Saccharomyces cerevisiae S288C: one gene and its partners. The protein of the gene in region 1 binds, or shares a complex with, the protein of each later gene. Each region holds a gene or a part of one and is shown in the gene's direction. Other genes may lie near its edges.

Evidence for each region.
Region 2: the proteins of CDC45 (region 1) and SLD3 are in contact, whole or in part, in a crystal structure (PDB 8J09), measured with the Saccharomyces cerevisiae proteins. Residues at the interface, in NP_013204.1 of Saccharomyces cerevisiae: Glu234 (codon at 3,372), Leu237 (codon at 3,381), Glu238 (codon at 3,384), Glu239 (codon at 3,387), Tyr241 (codon at 3,393), Ser242 (codon at 3,396), Lys520 (codon at 4,230), His521 (codon at 4,233), Leu522 (codon at 4,236), Arg523 (codon at 4,239), Ile524 (codon at 4,242), Tyr525 (codon at 4,245), Leu527 (codon at 4,251), Val529 (codon at 4,257), Gln531 (codon at 4,263), Asp561 (codon at 4,353), Lys562 (codon at 4,356), Glu574 (codon at 4,392), Tyr579 (codon at 4,407), Ile601 (codon at 4,473), Leu602 (codon at 4,476), Asn604 (codon at 4,482), Met607 (codon at 4,491), Ala608 (codon at 4,494), Gln611 (codon at 4,503), Arg634 (codon at 4,572), Leu637 (codon at 4,581), Ser638 (codon at 4,584), Pro639 (codon at 4,587), Leu641 (codon at 4,593); in NP_011402.3 of Saccharomyces cerevisiae: Ile215 (codon at 3,563), Val216 (codon at 3,566), Lys219 (codon at 3,575), Lys267 (codon at 3,719), Phe294 (codon at 3,800), Glu295 (codon at 3,803), Tyr298 (codon at 3,812), Lys299 (codon at 3,815), Lys301 (codon at 3,821), Leu302 (codon at 3,824), Lys303 (codon at 3,827), Lys304 (codon at 3,830), Arg305 (codon at 3,833), Ser306 (codon at 3,836), Leu307 (codon at 3,839), Asn308 (codon at 3,842), Leu309 (codon at 3,845), Thr310 (codon at 3,848), Lys311 (codon at 3,851), Lys312 (codon at 3,854), Leu314 (codon at 3,860), Val315 (codon at 3,863), Glu341 (codon at 3,941), Asp344 (codon at 3,950), Leu345 (codon at 3,953), Asp348 (codon at 3,962), Arg349 (codon at 3,965), Cys351 (codon at 3,971), Ile352 (codon at 3,974), Ile355 (codon at 3,983).
Region 3: the proteins of CDC45 (region 1) and MCM5 are in contact, whole or in part, in a cryo-EM structure (PDB 6PTO), measured with the Saccharomyces cerevisiae proteins. Residues at the interface, in NP_013204.1 of Saccharomyces cerevisiae: Lys311 (codon at 3,603), Pro313 (codon at 3,609), Tyr335 (codon at 3,675), Ile368 (codon at 3,774), Pro369 (codon at 3,777), Leu370 (codon at 3,780), Ser371 (codon at 3,783), Gln374 (codon at 3,792), Glu375 (codon at 3,795), Tyr379 (codon at 3,807), Tyr415 (codon at 3,915), Arg416 (codon at 3,918), Gly417 (codon at 3,921), Asn436 (codon at 3,978), Asp486 (codon at 4,128), Pro534 (codon at 4,272), Asp535 (codon at 4,275), Asp537 (codon at 4,281); in NP_013376.1 of Saccharomyces cerevisiae: Phe34 (codon at 1,746), Glu37 (codon at 1,755), Phe38 (codon at 1,758), Arg39 (codon at 1,761), Leu40 (codon at 1,764), Asp41 (codon at 1,767), Glu66 (codon at 1,842), His67 (codon at 1,845), Ile69 (codon at 1,851), Gly70 (codon at 1,854), Asn72 (codon at 1,860), Glu73 (codon at 1,863), Asp74 (codon at 1,866), Tyr76 (codon at 1,872), Lys77 (codon at 1,875), Ser141 (codon at 2,067), Asn142 (codon at 2,070), Ala143 (codon at 2,073), Asn144 (codon at 2,076), Gln145 (codon at 2,079), Ile146 (codon at 2,082), Ile159 (codon at 2,121), Val160 (codon at 2,124), Arg161 (codon at 2,127), Gly578 (codon at 3,378), Met583 (codon at 3,393), Gln587 (codon at 3,405), Asn590 (codon at 3,414).
Region 4: the proteins of CDC45 (region 1) and PSF1 are in contact, whole or in part, in a cryo-EM structure (PDB 3JC5), measured with the Saccharomyces cerevisiae proteins. Residues at the interface, in NP_013204.1 of Saccharomyces cerevisiae: Ser23 (codon at 2,739), Lys50 (codon at 2,820), Leu53 (codon at 2,829), Val54 (codon at 2,832), Gln55 (codon at 2,835), Ser56 (codon at 2,838), Gln57 (codon at 2,841), Ile58 (codon at 2,844), Val59 (codon at 2,847), Pro60 (codon at 2,850), His70 (codon at 2,880), Leu74 (codon at 2,892), Asp75 (codon at 2,895), Asp76 (codon at 2,898), Lys471 (codon at 4,083), Val474 (codon at 4,092), Ser475 (codon at 4,095), Trp478 (codon at 4,104), Trp481 (codon at 4,113); in NP_010296.3 of Saccharomyces cerevisiae: Phe162 (codon at 2,789), Asp164 (codon at 2,795), Arg166 (codon at 2,801), Glu173 (codon at 2,822), Tyr178 (codon at 2,837), Val180 (codon at 2,843), Phe181 (codon at 2,846), Asn182 (codon at 2,849), Leu183 (codon at 2,852), Ile184 (codon at 2,855), Asp186 (codon at 2,861), Ser187 (codon at 2,864), Gln188 (codon at 2,867), Phe189 (codon at 2,870), Phe190 (codon at 2,873), Val191 (codon at 2,876).

The regions. Positions count from the first base shown.
Region 1 is NC_001144.5:343,019-348,613, reverse strand, and holds CDC45 (DNA replication initiation factor CDC45), read left to right. Parts: upstream 1-2,672; coding exon 2,673-4,625; downstream 4,626-5,595. Other genes in the region: tRNA splicing endonuclease subunit SEN2, read left to right, coding at 434-1,567; LCL2 (Lcl2p), read right to left, coding at 1,634-2,029; APC9 (anaphase promoting complex subunit 9), read left to right, coding at 4,847-5,595. UniProt on the Saccharomyces cerevisiae protein: Required for initiation of chromosomal DNA replication. Acts at the origin of replication. Also has a role in minichromosome maintenance.
Region 2 is NC_001139.9:293,012-298,865, forward strand, and holds SLD3 (Sld3p), read left to right. Parts: upstream 1-2,920; coding exon 2,921-4,927; downstream 4,928-5,854. Other genes in the region: YGL114W (uncharacterized protein), read left to right, coding at 449-2,626; TATA-binding protein-associated factor TAF6, read right to left, coding at 5,167-5,854. UniProt on the Saccharomyces cerevisiae protein: Required for loading and maintenance of stable association of CDC45 with chromatin during initiation and elongation of DNA replication. Also involved in temporal regulation of origin firing. Required for the association of PSF1 with origins.
Region 3 is NC_001144.5:689,909-695,953, forward strand, and holds MCM5 (MCM DNA helicase complex subunit MCM5), read left to right. Parts: upstream 1-1,646; coding exon 1,647-3,974; downstream 3,975-6,045. Other genes in the region: protein phosphatase regulator PIG1, read right to left, coding at 1-1,121; mRNA splicing protein SMD2, read left to right, coding at 4,470-4,474, 4,565-4,892; DBP9 (ATP-dependent DNA/RNA helicase), read right to left, coding at 5,138-6,045. UniProt on the Saccharomyces cerevisiae protein: Acts as a component of the MCM2-7 complex (MCM complex) which is the putative replicative helicase essential for 'once per cell cycle' DNA replication initiation and elongation in eukaryotic cells.
Region 4 is NC_001136.10:470,852-475,067, forward strand, and holds PSF1 (DNA replication protein PSF1), read left to right. Parts: upstream 1-2,305; coding exon 2,306-2,932; downstream 2,933-4,216. Other genes in the region: 60S ribosomal protein uL4 RPL4B, read left to right, coding at 1,002-2,090; RAD61 (Rad61p), read left to right, coding at 3,195-4,216. UniProt on the Saccharomyces cerevisiae protein: Required for DNA replication. Functions as part of the GINS complex which plays an essential role in the initiation of DNA replication by binding to DNA replication origins and facilitating the assembly of the DNA replication machinery.

The DNA.
Region 1 (5,595 bases):
TGTTAAGAGAACGGACTAAATAACACCAGGAGGTGTGTCTAGACTTAGTTGAACGAGTTTTTTCTCGTGCTATTATATCTGTTCTTAATACTTCCACTTTATTTTAATGATGATAGCATGATTTATGTTGCTCGAAGTTAATCGATGTGAGCACAATGATTTCTCAAGACTACAACGGTATCTGAATTTTATTTCTTGTCAAAAATGTTTTATAGAAGCCACTCTTGCTATAGATTTATATTGCCACACATAACTTTTTCACGTAAATTTGAAAGAGCTATATTAGCTGGTGCTTTCACTAACATCTCTTTGCTCTAGTATTTCATTTCGGTGCATAAAACATTTGAACTTCCATCGAAATTCAATATGCTAAAACGTTTCATTGTAACACGACGCTGAAAAGACAATAAGTACGAAGGACTCAAGAAGGAGCATGTCTAAAGGGAGGGTCAATCAGAAGCGTTACAAGTATCCTCTTCCAATTCACCCCGTAGATGACCTTCCAGAGTTAATCCTTCATAATCCGTTATCTTGGCTATATTGGGCATACCGCTATTACAAGAGTACGAACGCACTGAACGATAAAGTACATGTAGATTTTATAGGAGATACCACTCTTCACATCACGGTTCAAGATGACAAGCAAATGCTATATCTTTGGAATAATGGATTTTTTGGCACTGGTCAATTTAGCAGGAGTGAGCCTACATGGAAAGCTAGAACAGAGGCCAGACTGGGTCTCAATGATACTCCCCTCCACAATCGGGGAGGAACAAAGAGTAATACTGAAACGGAGATGACTTTAGAGAAGGTCACACAACAGAGGAGATTACAAAGATTAGAGTTCAAGAAAGAACGTGCGAAGTTAGAAAGAGAATTACTAGAATTAAGAAAAAAAGGTGGTCATATCGATGAGGAAAACATCCTCCTTGAGAAACAACGAGAATCATTAAGAAAATTTAAACTAAAACAAACAGAAGACGTGGGCATCGTTGCACAACAGCAAGACATTTCCGAATCAAATTTAAGAGATGAAGACAACAATCTTCTTGATGAGAACGGTGATCTTTTGCCACTAGAGTCACTAGAACTAATGCCAGTGGAAGCTATGTTTTTAACTTTTGCACTTCCTGTTCTTGACATATCTCCCGCGTGCCTGGCAGGGAAACTGTTTCAATTCGATGCCAAATATAAAGATATTCACTCCTTTGTCAGATCATACGTTATATACCATCACTACAGATCACACGGTTGGTGCGTAAGATCTGGTATAAAATTCGGCTGCGATTATTTATTATATAAGAGAGGGCCACCATTTCAACACGCTGAATTTTGTGTTATGGGTCTTGACCACGACGTCTCTAAAGATTATACGTGGTATTCTAGCATAGCCCGTGTTGTGGGCGGCGCAAAGAAGACGTTTGTGTTATGCTACGTGGAGAGACTAATCTCGGAACAGGAGGCGATAGCACTATGGAAATCAAACAACTTTACTAAATTGTTCAATAGTTTTCAAGTTGGTGAAGTATTGTATAAGAGATGGGTTCCCGGAAGAAATAGAGACTAGAATATCAATGAGAAGATAAATCCTTCGTATGTATATATGTATGTGTATGTATTTTTTATACAGATTTCAATGGTTTTTGTAAGCATCTGATACCCATCCACAATCCCTAAACCCCTTGTTCTTTGCTTTGGGGCCCTTGACAGGGTCATCATATATTGCTCTAAACTTTTCATTGTGTGTGGCTGGTTTGGATATGCAAACAAATTTATTATCAGGAAGGACACATTTCAACTGAGATTTAGGGAAGGGACAAGGACAGTCTTTCTGCTGTGCAACGCACGTTAGGGTGTCCGGACACAAATACCCATCACAAGGGTTATTTAAAACTTGATCTTCATATGATTGTTGCTGTTGCTGTTGCTGTTGCTGATGATGACCGAAATTGAAGAAGGCATTCACTCCAGTGCTGCCAAAAATAAACAATGCAAAGATGAGAACGATACTCCAGCGACTTTGACTCATACTACAGTAAAATTTGGTCGTTTTTTGCCTGGCAAACCATGCCTATTTTTCGTCATTAAAGGTCTTCTGAGCTTTCATCAAAATTATCTCTATAATTATAAAGGACAGCTCAGAGCCACACCCAAACATCTGCAAAGGTAAAGGCCATCTTTCATCTCACATTGCCTAACAAGAAAGTCACATTGCAATTGTTTCGAGAAGAAAACATTAATTCAATTACGTGGTTCCCATGCGTCTGTGTTAAGCGTCAATTTATCATTTGACGAACTCGTTGCAACCACAAACAAAGCAAGGGCCGCATTTATCAAAGGAAAACCAACCAAAAGCATAAATAAACGAGATTTTTATTATGAAAAAGCCATGCGAATCCTACTAGAATAAATTCAAAGTGAAGACATTTAGTCAATTCGATCTTCTCTCTCTTGCTTTAACTAGTCGTAAAACCTAATAAGTTTCATTCACGACGCGTATTTTTTTTTCAACATATCATCTAACGCGTTTTAAGAAATTTCAGTAAATAATGAAGCTGTAGTAATGCCAACAATCCATTGTGGCTACTTTATACAACGCACTATAGAGCAATAAAAGTGTAGCAATAAACACTAGAGAGAAGGCACATAATAACAAGAATATACTCTCGCACATGTATTATGGAATCAGCCAGTTTAGCGAAGCCTACAACAAAATCTTAAGGAATTCATCGTCTCATTCATCATGTCAATTGGTCATTTTCGTTTCTTGTCTTAACATCGATGCGCTGTGTGCGACGAAGATGTTGTCACTATTATTCAAAAAACAATTGGTACAATCTCAAATAGTACCGATATTTGGGTACTCTGAATTACGACGCCACTATTCTCAATTGGATGACAATATAAATAGTCTGCTATTAGTAGGGTTTGGAGGCGTTATTGATCTGGAGGCTTTCTTAGAAATCGATCCCCAAGAGTATGTTATCGATACAGATGAAAAGTCGGGGGAACAAAGTTTCAGGAGAGACATCTACGTGTTGGATGCTCATAGACCGTGGAATCTCGACAATATATTTGGATCACAAATCATCCAATGTTTTGACGACGGTACGGTGGATGACACATTAGGCGAACAAAAAGAAGCATACTATAAATTGCTTGAACTGGACGAGGAGAGTGGTGACGATGAGCTCTCAGGTGACGAGAACGATAATAATGGGGGTGACGATGAGGCAACTGATGCCGATGAAGTCACAGACGAGGACGAAGAAGACGAAGATGAGACAATATCTAATAAAAGAGGTAATTCTTCAATAGGACCGAATGATCTCTCAAAAAGAAAGCAACGAAAGAAGCAAATCCATGAATATGAAGGTGTTTTGGAGGAATACTATTCTCAAGGCACAACAGTGGTTAACTCGATATCTGCACAAATCTATTCATTATTGTCTGCTATCGGAGAAACAAATCTTTCAAACCTGTGGTTGAATATACTTGGTACGACCTCGTTAGATATAGCATATGCTCAAGTTTACAATCGATTATACCCCTTATTGCAAGATGAAGTGAAGCGTCTCACACCAAGCAGTAGAAACTCAGTAAAGACCCCTGATACATTGACGTTAAACATCCAACCGGATTACTACCTTTTCTTACTGAGGCATTCTTCATTGTACGACAGTTTTTATTATTCTAACTATGTCAATGCCAAACTATCCCTATGGAATGAAAATGGGAAAAAGAGATTGCATAAGATGTTTGCTAGAATGGGTATACCATTAAGTACTGCACAAGAAACATGGTTATACATGGATCATTCTATTAAGAGAGAACTTGGGATAATATTTGACAAAAATTTGGATCGTTATGGGTTGCAAGATATAATTAGAGATGGGTTTGTTAGAACTCTTGGATATCGTGGGTCCATAAGTGCCAGTGAATTTGTCGAAGCACTAACAGCTCTTTTGGAAGTAGGTAATTCAACTGATAAGGATAGTGTGAAAATAAATAATGACAATAATGACGATACAGATGGAGAGGAAGAAGAAGATAACAGCGCTCAAAAATTGACGAATTTGAGAAAAAGATGGGTTTCGAATTTTTGGCTCAGTTGGGATGCTCTAGATGACAGAAAGGTGGAACTATTAAACCGTGGCATTCAACTAGCACAAGACTTACAGAGAGCAATTTTTAATACCGGGGTTGCTATATTGGAGAAGAAATTAATCAAGCATTTAAGAATTTATAGATTATGCGTCTTACAAGACGGACCCGATTTAGACTTGTACAGAAACCCATTGACGTTATTAAGATTAGGAAATTGGCTCATAGAATGCTGTGCGGAATCTGAAGACAAGCAATTGTTGCCCATGGTGCTTGCCAGCATAGATGAAAATACGGACACTTACTTGGTTGCTGGGTTAACACCTAGGTATCCTCGCGGACTAGACACGATACACACAAAAAAACCTATTTTGAATAATTTCAGCATGGCGTTTCAACAAATAACTGCAGAAACGGATGCTAAAGTGAGAATAGATAATTTTGAAAGTTCCATAATTGAAATACGTCGTGAAGATCTTTCACCATTCCTGGAGAAGCTGACCTTGAGTGGATTGTTATAATCAAATTTATATTATTTAGTCGTACATATATACCAGCATATGAATATAAAATCTAAGCTTTTTCAAGCTTTTAAGTCCAACTTTTCTATAATAATACCATATTTTGTGCGCGGCTCTTGACAAAACAAAAAAAAAAACCTAAATAAAAGGAAATTAAGAACAGGGAACTAGGTTTGGAAGGACAAATTCAGGAAGGAAAGAAATAGCTGTGACAAAGTAAGATGAACCAAAATGGTGATAAGAACGAAGGCAAGTTGTTTCAACTACCGTCATTGCCGCCCTGGAAAACACCAAGGTTCAACAAAGCCAACTTTAACAATTTTACCACACCGCTACGGAAAAGGTCGACAAGGGTAATAAATGATGATTCGATGCCCATAACAGGCGAAGTACTAGAGGAGAGGACTGCAGATGATCTCTATGGGATAAATATGGACGTAGACGAAGTCGACTATCTGAATACTTTGAGCCACATCGAGGAAGAAAAGCAATACGATTATTCACCGTTTTGTGAGCGCAATACGCTAAGGGAAAGTAGAATTGACAGTTTTTTGAAAGCCGAAAGGGCAGCACATTGTCTTGTGTTTCATAAGGTGGGCCATCTAGACGGCATAGACAGCTATCGACCCGATATTGACATCATGTGCGGCGAAGAGGCTAATAAATATGACAGTGCGAATCCGGAGGGCAATGGTTCAATGTTGTTAGAGAGTGTACCTGGATGCAACAAAGAAGACCTGGAGAGGTTATCAAGGCGAGAATTTGTAACAAATTCGAAACCTAATATGAGACGGTTGGATGACATAATAAATCATGAAACGAACGCCTTAAAAAGTTTCTGGAACGACTCAGGATTAGTCAATTCACTCCAAAGTCATCATTTGCATGAAGAGTACCTTCTTTTGCAAGAAGAATTAAAGAATGTGTACAAGATTAAATGCCATGACAGAGTGCCAATAGAAAGTCTACG
Region 2 (5,854 bases), on another chromosome or scaffold:
TGAGATTTTTGTGTACATACTATAAATAAATGCAACTAATAAAGTCATGATTAATCAGTCATGCATACTTCATCTGACCAATATATTTTCATCTTGCTTATTTTGGGTATAATTCGGCGGAAATTCGGTTATAAAGCGAAGTGAAAAATCGATTAGTAATGATACTGATGCGATCTCTGGGAGGGGGGAATGCTGCATATAAGGGTGAAGGAAGATAATGCAAAGCCTTTTGTAGTATTGTCTGTTGATACCAAAATAAATTAGTTCATCAAAAAGGTACAGGCAGCTAAAGAAAAGCTGTAAATTTAACGCCGTAGAAGGTATTTTTCGTGAGATCTATCTCAAGGCATCATTTTTTTTATTTTCGCACCAAGATAGGAAGAAAAAGAGTCACAGTATAGAGGACTAACCGTTAAAGATTCTAAATCGGTACTGTAAATACTTTGAAATGCCTCAATCTACTCCAAGTCAAGAAGTACAGCGTGTACCATGGGATAATAAACCTGCTTTGAAGCAGATAACACTCCGAGCAACCATAGCAGGTATCGCTATAGGGTCTCTGGTGCTAACATCAAATTTTCAATTTGGCCTGCAAACCGGTTGGGTTTCCATGATGTCCCTGCCATCGGCATTGTTAGCTTGTGCTTTCTTTAAAAATATCTGGCCATTAATATTTCCGAACGACAGGCCTTTCAGTGACGTTGAAAATGTATACGTACAAAGTATGGCAGTAGCTGTCGGAACAGGCCCATTAGCCTTTGGGTTTGTCGGCGTCATACCTGCCATCGAGAAGTTCCTTACTAACGACGAAAGTGGTGGATTAAGGGAACAAGGACAGTCCTTCACTTTTAGAGAATTGTTAATATGGTCCACAGCCCTAGCATTCTTCGGTATTTTTTTTGCAGTTCCTCTAAGAAAGCAAGTAATTGTTAGAGAGAAACTTCCCTTCCCCAGTGGTAGCGCCACGGCCACTTTAATTTCAGTGCTAAATGGAACTGAGATTTTACAAGAGGTTTCTAAGTCAGAGTTATTGGAAATGAGGCAGAGGAGATTGAATGAATGCCCTGAAGTGCTACAACCCAACAGAGATCCAGAGGAGGCGGATTATTTAATGAACTCTTCTCATAGCGAACTTGGTGATTATACGGCAACTAGCCAAGATGGAAGTTCTATCCTTTCTACTGGCTCTGAGAACTACAGAGCGAATATTATTATTTTATTGAAAACTTTTGTTGTTTCTTCGCTTTACACCATGGTGTCATATTTTGTACCGGTAATACGGTCTATTCCAGTCTTCGGAAAATACCTCTCGAACAATTATCTCTGGAATTTTCAGCCGTCGCCTGCGTATATAGGCCAAGGGATAATAATGGGTCTTCCAACAGTATCGTATATGCTTATCGGGTGCTTCTTAGGCTGGGGTGTGTTAGCACCATTGGCGAGATACAAAAGATGGGTACCACCAGATGCTGATGTCCACGACTGGGAGGAGGGAGTGCAAGGATGGATTCTTTGGTCGTCGCTTTCAATAATGGTTGCTGACAGTGTAGTCGCTTTTATTGTTGTGACAGTGAAGTCCATTGTGAAATTTATTCTTATAGATGACAAAGCTGCTTTACTGAACAACATAATCGATGATACATTTCAATCTATGTTACTGGAGGAGGAACGCGCCATTAATAGCAGCAGAAGAAATACATATGTTGATGGAAGGCAGGACACCGTAAGATTAGTGAGTAGAGATAACGAAATAGAAGTAGATTCGAAGCATTTGGTTCGCTATACCACCGTTATCAGTGGATGTCTAGTCTCCTCGATAATATGCATTGTTTCCATAATATATTTGTTTGGGATACAAGTAATTCCCCTATATGCTATTATCACTGCTTTGATACTTGCGTTGTTTCTATCTATTCTCGGTATTCGAGCACTTGGAGAGACCGATCTGAATCCTGTGAGCGGCATTGGTAAGATCTCTCAATTGATTTTTGCCTTTATCATACCAAGGGATAGACCTGGATCAGTGTTAATGAACGTGGTATCGGGAGGTATTGCAGAAGCCTCTGCCCAACAGGCGGGCGATTTAATGCAGGATTTGAAAACGGGGCACCTCCTCGGCGCCTCCCCAAGAGCTCAGTTCTGTGCCCAATTGATAGGGGCCTGTTGGTCAATTATTTTGTCTAGCTTCATGTATTTGTGCTACAATAAAGTTTATTCAATTCCGAGTGAGCAATTCAGGATACCGACAGCAGTAGTGTGGATAGATTGTGCAAGACTAGTAACTGGTAAAGGGCTCCCTGATAAGGCCTTGGAGTGCTCCATGATTCTCGGAGTCATATTTGCCGTTTTATCATTAATCAGAAACACTTATAGAGATTACGGATACGGGTGGATATTATATATTCCGTCTGGTGTAGCAGTCGGTGTTGGTATATTTAATTCTCCCAGTTTTACAATTGCAAGATTCATCGGCGGGTGGGCTTCGCATTTTTGGTTGAAGAATCATAGGGGTGACTTAAATGCGAAAACAAAAATGATTGTATTCAGTTCGGGGTTGGTCTTAGGTGAAGGTATCTTTAGCGTAATAAACATGCTCTTCATCTGCTTAAATGTCCCTCACTATTAGGTATATAATATTTTACTAATAAAGAATTTACAAAGTTTACAAATTTTAAATTATTTACTCATCACATAATTCGATGTCTTAGATTTCCCTGTATATATATTTCTAGGTGACAAAAATCCTAGGCAAAATGTTATATTATACGCGACCTTGAAATATCGGCTATCTTGGTGTACAACATGGTCCATTTAAGAAAAATAAAAAAAAGTGATGGGCACTGTTAAAACAGGCAGAAGCCTCATTCATAACTGCTGAAGGGTTAAGATCGTATAGGTAGGAACGATCTGACCTCTCATAATGGAAACATGGGAAGTCATAGCATCGGTAAAAGAAGCAACAAAAGGCCTTGACTTGAGCTTAGATCATCCACTTATTATTAAATCCGAGGACGTGCCCAGTAACATTCTCCAATTACTGCAACAGAAGAATCGACGTCAATTGAAACACATCTGCATGAAATCAAGAAAAGAGTATTTTCTACTAGAGGAATATGGGCCAGGATTTTGGGTTAAGTGGCCGTACAATTATTTCAATGGTTACAGCTTACCAGAAAGGCGTACGGAAGTTGTAACGACAGTTGAAAGAGAAAGAGCTAAGCGTGAAACGTTAAAAACATGGGACGAATTGAAATTTAAAGAGCTTCTTCATTTATGGTCAGAAGAACCCAAGGGCTCGTGTAAGCTTGAGAAGGACAAAGACCTTAAACTGGATATGAATCCCCCAGATATGAAAGGCGAATCAAAAATTAATGACTACTATTCAGACCCTAAAGAGTACATAGAAAGTAAGTATTATGATGCTCTTTTTTCCATACATACGCCTCTCGCATATTTCGTCAAGTCAAATTTAGTAAGGCTCAAAAATACCTGCCGAACCAAGTACGGAAGTGACAGTTACAAAATAGCCTATCAAGCCATGCTGCAAAAATTTCTTCTCTCAATTGTACAATTCAAAGATAGACATGATAACAGGCTTTTATTAGAGCCCTTTTCTAGTCCCATAGCAGATGAAAAAAGGAAGAACTGTCTCACAAAATTTGTTATCCAAGATGAAAACAAAAACAGCTCAACCATTGCTGATTTATGTGTTGTATTAAAATCCCGCGAAATAAAGCTACAAATATTATTGCTATTAGAGATAATAGGATTGAACGATTTAGATTGGAATTTTAGAGATTTTGAGAAAAAGTATAAATTAAAATTGAAGAAAAGATCACTTAATTTGACAAAAAAGGGATTAGTTCGTCGAAGATCGAAGAAAAAAACCAGCGAAAAAGACAAAGGAATCGAGAGAATAACAACATCTTTGGATTATTGTGAACAGTTAGACTTGTACTTAGATAGAGCATGCATCTTGGACATTCTACTATCAAGTGAAACGCCCAACCCAGATGCCATAGAAGCATCAAATGGAACAATACAAGAGCATAAAAAAAATATCCTAGACAAAAGCAAAGAAGCCTCATTGGTTGGGTTCATAAATTATGTTCTTATTCCATATTTCAACAAAAAGGTACCACACGCCGTTGAATTTATAATTCAAAAGCTCAAGGGACCAAGCATGAGACCAAAGAGAGCCCTGAAAAAGGTCAACGATAGCACAAATGTATCGTCACCTAATACTGTAGAAACGTATAACAGGTTATCCACGAGTCAACGTGCCTCTCGCTCTTCAATCATTAATTCCGTCCCATCTTCACCCGCATTGAGAAGGGTGGACGCTAATTTGTTCAGCAGAAAATCTATAGCTTCGCCCACCCCTGAACTTTTGAATTCTAGAACGAACTCTAACTTGAATGAATTTCTCGAAAGTGAAACTAGAAGCTTAAAGCGCCCTTCACAATTGGGAAGGACGAAGTCTGATCTAACGATGAATCATTTACAAAAACGGCAGTTTTCTGTCTCTGACTTAAGCACAACAAGAGTACCGAATTCATCAACTATCACACTCAAAACGCCTTTCTCGCACTCAACTATTAATGCATACAAAACTATGAATAACTCTTTTCGCAGAGTTGGGAAACGTAAAGATATCAATGAAACGATACGCCTACATGAACGTGTAGACTCTGAGGAAAACGTACAAGTTCAAGCCACTCCTGCTGTGAAAAAAAGAACTGTGACACCTAATAAAAAGGCGCAACTTCAAAGCATCATTGAATCGCCGCTAAATTTCAAGGATGATGATACGCATGAAGGCAGAAAAAATACCTCCAATATTACCTCTACTCCCACTAATAAGCCCCCGGAAAATAGCTCAAAAAGGAGAGTAAGAAGACGTTTATTTGCTCCAGAATCCACATAGAATAAGAAACTGCGAGACCACCTTCGCTGGCAAGTAGTTGACCCAACTCCATCTTTGTAGCTTTTCTTGGACGAAAAGGGAATAAAATAAAACTAAGCTACAACAATTTCGCACTTCGGGGGCCTTTGAGTATACAATTAAATAACTCATCATGCATATATATATATATACATACAATGGCGTATGTAAAAACTGTTATATAACATTACCGTTGTACTATTAGTATAAACCGATTCTCACTATTCGCCAAAAAATATCGCACTAATTAATTCTTTTGCGTCGTCTCTTTTCAAAATGTGAAATCCAATAGTGACACCACACCTCTCTAGCAATTTTTCCTTATCCTCATCCGTAACTTTTTCACCTTTACCCTCGTACAAATCTGGTAAATCCTTTTTTAGAACTAACAATGCACTAATTACAGTATCAACCAAGATTTGAGTTTCTTCTTTAGTAAATTTGGTCCTAGTTGGATTGGAGTCATCGTTCAAATGTTCCTCTATATTGTCTAGAGTTATTCCGCTTTCATTGAATACCAAGCGCGCCCAATTATTTAGGTTTCCTAAGAAGAATCTGATGGATTCACCTTCTAGTACCGATACACCCTTTAAGCACCCATAGTAAGTCCCAAAAACACGGTTTATGTCCAAAAATGTCTTTAGCAGTGTCCTAGTTACTCTTGGCTTCAGGGATTTGTATGCTTGAGGAAATTTTTTCAATACATAGTCCAACAAAGATGCGGCAAAATCACGTAGTGCATTCGTTCTTTCTAAAAATTCATGAATTTCTTGCGGCGAATCATCTTTTGGTGATCCACCAAGTTTTTTTGCTAATAGCAAGGTTAAAATGGAAGGCATTAACGAATGAATATAAGGGTCCAGGAAAATAGAAGTATTGCTTAGTAAAGAGTAAATCATTTCCAAAATT
Region 3 (6,045 bases), 350 kb from region 1:
GAATTTTCATTATTTTTCGACATAGTAACCTCTGCATTGCTAGCCCCCATTTTGGAAGGCCCAAGATTGGAATTAAATATCGATGAATTCGAAACCGCACGATTTAGATTTATTGCTGACAAAGAGATCGTTATTTCATAGTTTTTATAGTCATTATTATCGTAAAATGATCTATATTCGAAACCATTTACATCATAACGACAACAGAACTGCAAATTCAGGAGACAAGTAGTTTTCCTTTCAAAAAAGTTAGTGTAAATCAAGTTTTTTGATATTAGATTTAACTTCAACGCAGATATATCAATAATAAATTTGAATTCGTCAACATGAGGGGTGACAGACTTGTTGTAGTGTGCATTAATATAGTGAATATCTGCCCAGTTATTTAAAGTAAATTTTATCTCTATTTTTTTCTCGAAGTTCAAATTATTGACAAATATAAGGCCCCAGATTTGACAGTTACCAAAATTATTGCTACAAATATCCTCGTAGCTTACAGGATCAGATAGTTCTAATGAATGAACCTTTATATTTTGTCCATTTAAGTATTTGAAAATCTTGTCTTCCAACCCAGTAACGTCCACTTTATAGTCACTTTTGAATGGATTCAAATTATTACTGACCAGTTTCCAATCTGCCATATCGAATGTCTCCTCTTCACCAAAGCAGAGAATCTCCTTTTCAATGAACATGCTACGATCATGCATAAGCATTGCATTATCCTCTACGTCACTCTCGTTGTCATACTCAACATCCTTATTGTCATATTCTAAATCACTGTAATCTAAAATGTCTAAACTATAACGATGATCTTCACCTCCAATGAAGGGGAACGTTAGTGGAATGGCATTGTTATGCAAATTTCTTGTAAGATTTGAAGCGGCTTTTTCTGATATCGAGATAGGCGCCAATTTTGTGTTGAACTTTTTGACTGTGTATAAATGTGCAGCAAACCTTACCGATTTCCCTGATGATGAAGATGATGTCGACGAAGATGCAGATGTAGAGTCTTCTAGTGGTGAAAATGAATTAGAGGTTGTTGAGGAAACAAAAGAAGAAGTGGAGATTGTTTTTGCGAGTTTCAAAGACGGTTTAAGCTTCTTACCATGGCTGTAAGGCATTTGTAAAAACAAAGAGTAAAATTATTGACCTTATAACAAGCGTCAAAGAAACGAGCATAGAAGTATTATACGGCCTTTATTTGTCAGATTATACTCCAGACTTAGTAAAAAATTCAATTAAATTCCAAACTGCTTACCCCAGATTTAGTGAATAAGAGCCCTTTATTCTACCCGCTTATCTCTGGATGTAAAACAAATAAACGCGTAATAGAGCAGTCAAACTAACAGCAGTAAACTGTCAATATCAAAAACGTAACAATTGATTCAAATCAGTTTATTCTAAGCCGCCTATGCCAGCCTTTAATTTTCTTCTCCTCCTCTTCACTCCCAGGTTAAGCCATTTAGTTTGTTGCTATGCGGTGTGTGGCGTGTTTCCCTTTTAGGAAAAGTGATTACTTGCAGTTTCGCGAAATCTCGAAGAATTTTTTCAACTTATTGAAAGAACATGAATATACTTGTTAACGTGATTAAACGTTTTATCAGAACAACCTAAGAGTATCTCCTTGGTGAATTAGAAGCCAGATAATGTCATTTGATAGACCGGAAATATACAGTGCTCCTGTTTTACAAGGAGAATCTCCTAACGACGATGATAATACTGAAATCATAAAGTCCTTTAAGAATTTCATTTTGGAGTTCAGACTTGACTCGCAATTTATTTACAGAGATCAGTTAAGGAACAACATCCTTGTGAAGAATTATTCTTTAACGGTTAACATGGAGCATTTGATCGGATATAACGAAGACATATATAAGAAACTATCAGACGAACCTTCAGATATCATTCCATTATTCGAAACCGCGATCACACAAGTGGCTAAAAGGATAAGTATTCTAAGCAGAGCTCAATCTGCTAATAACAATGACAAAGATCCAGAAAATACTAGTATGGATACTGATTCTCTCTTATTGAACTCTTTACCAACATTTCAATTAATTTTAAACTCCAATGCAAATCAGATTCCATTGAGAGATTTGGATTCTGAACACGTCTCCAAGATTGTCCGTTTATCAGGTATTATAATATCCACGTCAGTTTTATCTTCCCGTGCCACGTACCTTTCTATAATGTGCAGAAATTGCAGACACACAACATCAATAACAATCAACAATTTCAATTCTATCACAGGCAATACCGTCAGTTTACCACGTTCTTGCTTATCTACGATTGAGAGTGAATCTTCTATGGCAAACGAGTCGAATATTGGTGATGAATCGACCAAGAAAAATTGTGGACCTGATCCATATATTATTATCCATGAGTCTTCAAAGTTTATTGATCAACAGTTTTTAAAATTACAGGAAATCCCAGAACTGGTTCCAGTAGGTGAGATGCCTAGAAACTTAACAATGACTTGTGACCGATACCTAACAAACAAAGTTATTCCTGGTACGAGAGTCACTATAGTAGGTATTTATTCCATCTATAATTCTAAAAATGGTGCCGGATCCGGAAGGAGCGGGGGTGGAAATGGAGGAAGTGGTGTTGCTATTAGAACACCTTATATCAAAATATTAGGTATTCAGTCCGATGTAGAAACCTCCTCTATTTGGAATTCAGTAACTATGTTTACTGAGGAGGAAGAAGAGGAATTTCTACAGCTAAGTAGAAACCCGAAGCTTTATGAAATTTTGACCAACTCTATTGCCCCCTCTATTTTTGGTAATGAAGATATAAAAAAAGCCATTGTATGTTTATTGATGGGTGGTTCCAAGAAGATATTACCCGATGGTATGAGGTTAAGAGGTGATATCAATGTACTATTATTAGGTGATCCAGGTACCGCCAAATCTCAACTATTGAAATTTGTGGAGAAAGTGTCACCTATTGCGGTATATACATCTGGTAAGGGATCTTCTGCAGCTGGGTTAACTGCCAGTGTACAAAGAGATCCGATGACAAGAGAATTTTATTTGGAAGGTGGTGCTATGGTGCTTGCCGATGGTGGTGTTGTATGCATCGATGAATTCGATAAAATGAGAGATGAAGATAGAGTGGCCATTCATGAAGCTATGGAGCAGCAAACAATCTCCATCGCAAAAGCTGGTATCACTACAGTGCTAAATTCTAGAACTAGTGTTTTAGCGGCTGCTAATCCGATATACGGCCGGTATGATGATTTGAAGTCTCCTGGTGACAACATTGATTTCCAAACTACTATTTTATCCCGTTTTGATATGATTTTTATTGTTAAGGATGACCATAATGAAGAACGTGATATTTCAATAGCTAACCACGTTATTAATATTCATACAGGAAATGCTAATGCTATGCAAAACCAACAAGAGGAAAATGGCAGTGAAATTAGTATTGAAAAGATGAAACGTTACATTACGTATTGTAGATTGAAATGTGCACCAAGACTTTCACCGCAGGCCGCTGAAAAACTGTCATCGAACTTCGTCACCATTAGGAAGCAATTATTAATCAACGAATTAGAGTCAACGGAAAGGTCGTCTATTCCAATTACCATTCGTCAATTAGAAGCTATTATTAGAATAACAGAATCATTAGCCAAGTTAGAATTAAGTCCTATTGCACAGGAGAGACATGTTGACGAAGCTATTAGATTGTTTCAAGCTTCCACAATGGACGCAGCGTCTCAGGATCCAATTGGCGGCTTAAATCAAGCAAGCGGAACATCTTTGTCAGAAATCCGTCGTTTTGAACAAGAACTAAAAAGAAGATTACCTATAGGCTGGTCTACTTCTTATCAAACTTTGAGGAGAGAATTTGTAGATACACATAGATTTTCTCAATTAGCACTGGATAAGGCCTTATATGCCCTAGAGAAGCATGAAACAATTCAATTGAGACACCAGGGACAGAATATTTACAGAAGTGGTGTATGACAACAATAAAGTCTTAGCTTGACGCCTTTTCTACTTGTTTGCATGTAATGAATCTAAAAAATTCGCTACAAATACTTCATTATTATATTTCTATATAAATTCTGTAAACGAAATTATACTTTTTGAGGTTTCATCTGCGTCTCATATTCTTTTTGTATAATAAACGCACAGACTTGATATGACCGTCAATCAAAATAATTCAAAGCTTCTTAAAAAAGAAATTGAAATCAAAGACATACGAAAGAAATTAGAAAATAGAGGTCGATTTACCACTGAACAATCCTACAGTACATGAGCTCTTGAAGTGACTTTATGGGGACCAATTTGTCCTATCGTGATATTACTACGGGTAATACTACCAAATGAAAATTATCTTACTCAAAAGGTATGACAAGAACATCATCACTAGAACATCATCATTCTTAATAGCAAGCGCCATCACGTTTGCCCCGCCTTTGACAGTTGATTAGAGGAGTATTATAAAACCGTTTTATCATGTCGTATGTTTGATCTTAACCATTTTTACATCCTATAATTTGGAGTGAATTTTTATATACTAACTTAAAAGTAATTGATTTGTATCTTTCCAGTTCACAAATAATTGATCGTCCAAAACATGAACTCTCTAGAGCAGAATTAGAGGAACTAGAAGAATTTGAATTCAAACATGGTCCAATGTCCCTGATAAATGATGCTATGGTGACAAGAACACCTGTGATAATCTCATTAAGAAACAATCATAAAATAATAGCGAGAGTGAAAGCTTTCGACAGGCATTGTAATATGGTTTTAGAAAATGTGAAGGAGCTTTGGACAGAGAAGAAGGGCAAAAATGTAATTAATCGGGAAAGATTCATAAGTAAACTATTCTTAAGAGGTGATTCAGTTATCGTTGTGTTAAAAACCCCTGTTGAGTAAAAAGTAAGACAAGCAGCCCTCAATCAACAAGGAAAGCAAATCATCGTAAGAAACTTTACAGTCAGCGGAAAGCCTTTTTTTATTTTGGAAGTAAGACCAATTATTATTGGCTGATTTTCTAGCTCTTGCGAAAGTATTATATTCAAGAAAACGAATAAAGCATCTATATTATCACATTTAACTAAAGAGCATTTTTAATAAGTAGATTTTTACATAAAATATAGAATAAATATCAATATTATTAATCATTTGAAGTTCTTCAACGGGTCTACTTTACCATTCTTTGGCTTACTGACTCTTCCCTTTTTATGTGAATGGCGCTTCTTAGCATTGTGGAAAGGAACAAACTTGACTTTGGTTCCATTTCCTCTGGCTGATTCAGGAAGCAAGTAATCTGGAACACGCTTTAAATGCTGTTGCACTCTTGCTGGATGTAATTCTTTATCGTGTCTTAAACTTTGTAGCTCTTTTGGATTCTCCTCAAAATGTCTTTTCAACTTCTCACTTGCCAATAGTTCTTGTTTCAACTCTTTGACCCTAGCTTCTCTAATGGCAACTTGAGTAACAGCACGGAAACCGTCTTCCATTCTGTAACGGAACGCCTCGACCTGCTTTTGATCGAATTTGTAAGGCTGTAATTCTAATCCAAGTTTGCTCTGTTGTTTGATGATTCGTGAAAGAATCCTTTCATCCTTCTTTGCTGTCTGTAGCATTGATGGCTTATGCTTACCAAATTCTTTCAGTGGGACTACGAATGAAATTGCAGTACCGGTCTTTCCGCCACGAGCAGTTCTACCTACTCTATGCACGTAGGACTTAGCCGTCGTAGGTAAATCGAAATTGAGGACACATGCAACATTTTTGAAATCAACACCACGAGAAACACCATATTCCTTATCTTTCTTCACTTGGACCTTCTTTTTCTTGCTTGGTTTCTTATCGTTCTCAGGCTCGCCTTCCAAGCTTTTTTCTTCTTGATTTTCTGTATTGTGCCCTTCTTCTATTTCGTCATCTTCCTCTTTTATGTACTCGGTGTCATCTGTGGCAATCAATAGTTGGTAAACGTTTTTATTGAATTGGTCAACAATATGTTGCCTCGAATTAACGGGTAGCTCGCTGTTTAAAATACAGGACTTGATACCAAATTGTTCCA
Region 4 (4,216 bases), on another chromosome or scaffold:
CATATGATTAACAAAACTTGGTAAATTATCTGGCCTGTCAACCCTTACCTGTCCTGTCCCTTCTTTAGACAAAAGAAAATAAAAAAATTGGACACAGGAAAACAACAGCCTCCATACCACAGTTTCTGTGTCTTATTCTATTTAGGAAGGTCATTCTATATTACTCAAAGGAAAGACATCCAGTAGAAACAATAGTGTTGCTAAACGGTTAACTTGCCCACTAATGTCTGCTTATATTTGCAAATCACTATTGTGGCAAGTCATACCCTGGAGCTTTGTGATTGAACAACATATACTATATTGCAGCAGTATTTTTCAGAAATAATATTCGAAAGAAGTGAGAACAAGAAATGACCACGATAGATTACAGCTGACCAACTTAGAAAATGAGTAAACTTATTTTTGTCTTAAGAAGTGCATGCAGCGACCTCTCCCAATTACCAAATTGTAATTTTTTATTATTCTTTTTTTCTGCATAGTTCATTCGACAGCTTGGTTGAAAAGAGTGATAAAAATTTTCTGTTTTATGAAAAGTTTTCATAACTCTATTAAGGGTTGCACTATAAGAACATTTCGCAATAAAGCAACCCTTATCCGGACCCTACATGTTCCGTAAGTCCTGCCTTATTTATCGTAACGGTATTCATCTTACAGGAATTTTTGAATATAGATAACGTTAGTTTTGATAGATTGGAACAAATGGGAAAATAACAATTTAGAAGCGCTTTCCTCAGCGTATCTGAATTATAAAACAACTGCGCATATTGCTAAGAACTGCACTGAAGGCATGAATTGTCTATTCCGTTAGAAATATAATTATTTACGAAAGCATCGCGCAGACGCAATTTTTTTAACATTTTTTTTTTTTCAAGTACTCTGGAAAAGTTTTCATGAAGATCATGAATACGTTACACTACTATTATTATTGAAAATAATATTTCTTTCCTATCAGCAATCGCTTACATATTCATAGTCATTTACTAGGGTATATACCAATAATAATGTCCCGTCCACAAGTTACTGTTCACTCTTTGACTGGTGAAGCTACTGCCAATGCCTTGCCATTGCCAGCTGTCTTCTCCGCTCCTATCCGTCCTGACATTGTCCACACTGTTTTCACCTCTGTGAACAAGAACAAGAGACAAGCTTACGCTGTTTCTGAAAAGGCTGGTCACCAAACCTCCGCTGAATCCTGGGGTACCGGTCGTGCCGTCGCTCGTATTCCAAGAGTTGGTGGTGGTGGTACCGGTAGATCCGGTCAAGGTGCCTTCGGTAACATGTGTCGTGGTGGTCGTATGTTTGCTCCAACTAAGACCTGGAGAAAGTGGAACGTTAAGGTTAACCACAACGAAAAGCGTTACGCCACTGCTTCTGCTATTGCTGCTACTGCTGTTGCTTCTTTGGTCTTGGCCAGAGGTCACAGAGTCGAAAAGATTCCAGAAATCCCATTGGTTGTCTCCACTGACTTGGAATCTATTCAAAAGACCAAGGAAGCTGTTGCTGCTTTGAAGGCTGTTGGTGCTCACTCCGACTTGTTGAAGGTCTTGAAGTCCAAGAAATTGAGAGCCGGTAAGGGTAAGTACAGAAACAGAAGATGGACTCAAAGAAGAGGTCCATTAGTTGTCTACGCTGAAGACAACGGTATCGTCAAGGCCTTGAGAAACGTTCCAGGTGTTGAAACTGCCAACGTTGCTTCTTTGAACTTGTTGCAATTGGCTCCAGGTGCTCACTTGGGTAGATTCGTTATCTGGACCGAAGCTGCTTTCACCAAGTTGGACCAAGTCTGGGGTTCCGAAACCGTTGCCTCCTCCAAGGTCGGTTACACTTTGCCATCCCACATCATCTCCACTTCTGATGTCACCAGAATTATCAACTCTTCTGAAATCCAATCTGCTATCAGACCAGCTGGCCAAGCTACTCAAAAGCGTACTCACGTTTTGAAGAAGAACCCATTGAAGAACAAGCAAGTTTTGTTGAGATTGAACCCTTACGCCAAGGTCTTTGCTGCTGAAAAGCTAGGTTCCAAGAAGGCTGAAAAGACTGGTACCAAGCCAGCTGCTGTTTTCGCCGAAACCTTGAAGCATGACTAGAATTTATAGTATAGATCTTTAACTTTAATTTAAATATCTTTGTTACTAGTCTTTAATCAAACCTTTTTGTTTTCTTTAAAGTCGAAACGTCAGATTTGCTCAAAACCTTCTTGTCGTTACAACGCGAAAATTGTAATTTAAAATAACTAACGAAGAAAGCTGAAAAATAGATGTGAGGGAAAATCGTTTATAAACGGCCATGCTCACAGAGAATCATGTATGGAGATTTAGGTAATAAATTAGTATTAGAAGCTAAAAGAACAAAACAGCTGTACGCAAGAAGTAATCAAGATGTTAATTTACCCATGTATCATGAAGATATAATACGAAATATTCTGAAAGAAGTTTCAAATTTACGTAAAAATACGGAATATCTTAAAGAACAGCAGCAACTAGGAATGCTAGATGATAAGGTGGCTAAATGCCAGTATTTCGTTACCTTGTTATGTATGGAAAGGAACAAGAGATGTCTCTTAGCATACCAAAGGTTGAGAACAGACATACTAGATTCTATGGCTTGGAATAATAATGGTCTGGACTTGATGAGTAGCATTACGTTTAGCCAACAAGACACAAATAACCTTTCTCATCAAGAGCAGGAATATTTGAAAGAATACTGCGATTTAATTACTGATTTAAAAAGTGGTGACTTGGTCGATATTGATTTATCCGGCTCTTTAGTGCCTCCGAGCGATGTATTTATTGATGTTAGAGTGCTCAAAGATGCTGGTGAGATTCAAACTGAATACGGCGTGTTTAACCTTATTAAAGACTCCCAGTTTTTCGTAAGGCAGTCTGATGTAGAGCGTTTGATTCAACAAGGTTATTTGCAGAAGATATGATAAAATGCTTTCAAGCTGGTCTTCATGATATATAATCCTTTATAAAGCAAGATACATACCTCCATTCTAATTTACTCCCTTCTATGTTTACTTCAGCCCTTTTTAATAGATTTCGTAAGTTTTGGTTGAGGAGGCTTTCTGAGCTTTACGCGACTTTATTGATGACGAAGCTTCACTTTATTATAATAATGAAAAACTGCGCAGAGAAACTATCGCAAAACGAAACCATCTTCTTACCCTAAAGCATCCTGTTTCTGAAAAAATGAGAGCATATGGAAAGAGGGGCCCAGTTCTCAGAACTCCTTTTAGATCTAATAAAGGCTTGCCATCTTCTTCCGATGTTGAATTTAGTGATGACGATGTAAACTCCGTGATTCCTGATGTAAGTTCTACCATTTCGAGCAGTATTGCAGACCACCCGATAGAGGGATTATTGGACGAGCCTAGAAAGGCTCAGGACAGCTCGTCGTCATTTGATGGTGCAAATGAGAAGCCCTCTTCACAACTGGACTCAAAAAGGAATGACCAAAACGTCAAAATTATCACTAGCAGTGATACCTCAATGGCATTTATGAAAGATGAAAAGTTAAGTGCCTTTAATTTCCTTGATGGTTCAAAGGCATCTAAGAGAAAAAGAAGAAGAACTTACCAAAAGCATGATGCGAACATAACGTCTTCAATTGAACCAGACGTACAAGATGAAGACAGCATTACAATGCACAATGAATTTGAATCAATAAGGAAAATATACAATGACATCAATGAATTCATATTGAAGCTACCGAGAGCTGACGATGATATACTGAATAAAATGCTTGAAAATGAGATGAAGATGGACGACTCTATAGAGAATAATAGCATACGCACATCCAAAGACAAAAAATATGGCAAATTTAGAACAATATTAATAAACAAAAATAAAGAAAATGAAATAATGGGAGAAGAGGTAGATCAGAAAGCTAACACCTTGTCCCTAAATAACGCTGACAACAGTAATGCTGAAAAAGAAGGATTAACTTCAACAAATCACTACAACGAATTAAAAAATATGGGAGATACAATAAAATACCAGGATGATATTGAGTTTCTTCTGTCCAATTCTAAAAGTAATGACAATACTACGGTACCAATCAATGAATACTTTAAAAAACTTTTAAATTTATCCCTAATGATTATTAATGACGAAGAATTTTTTCAATATGCGAAAAGATATTTCAAAAAGGAAATAATTAAGCTTAGTTTTGCGCAATTTAGATCGGATTTTCCTGAATTAATCTTATTACA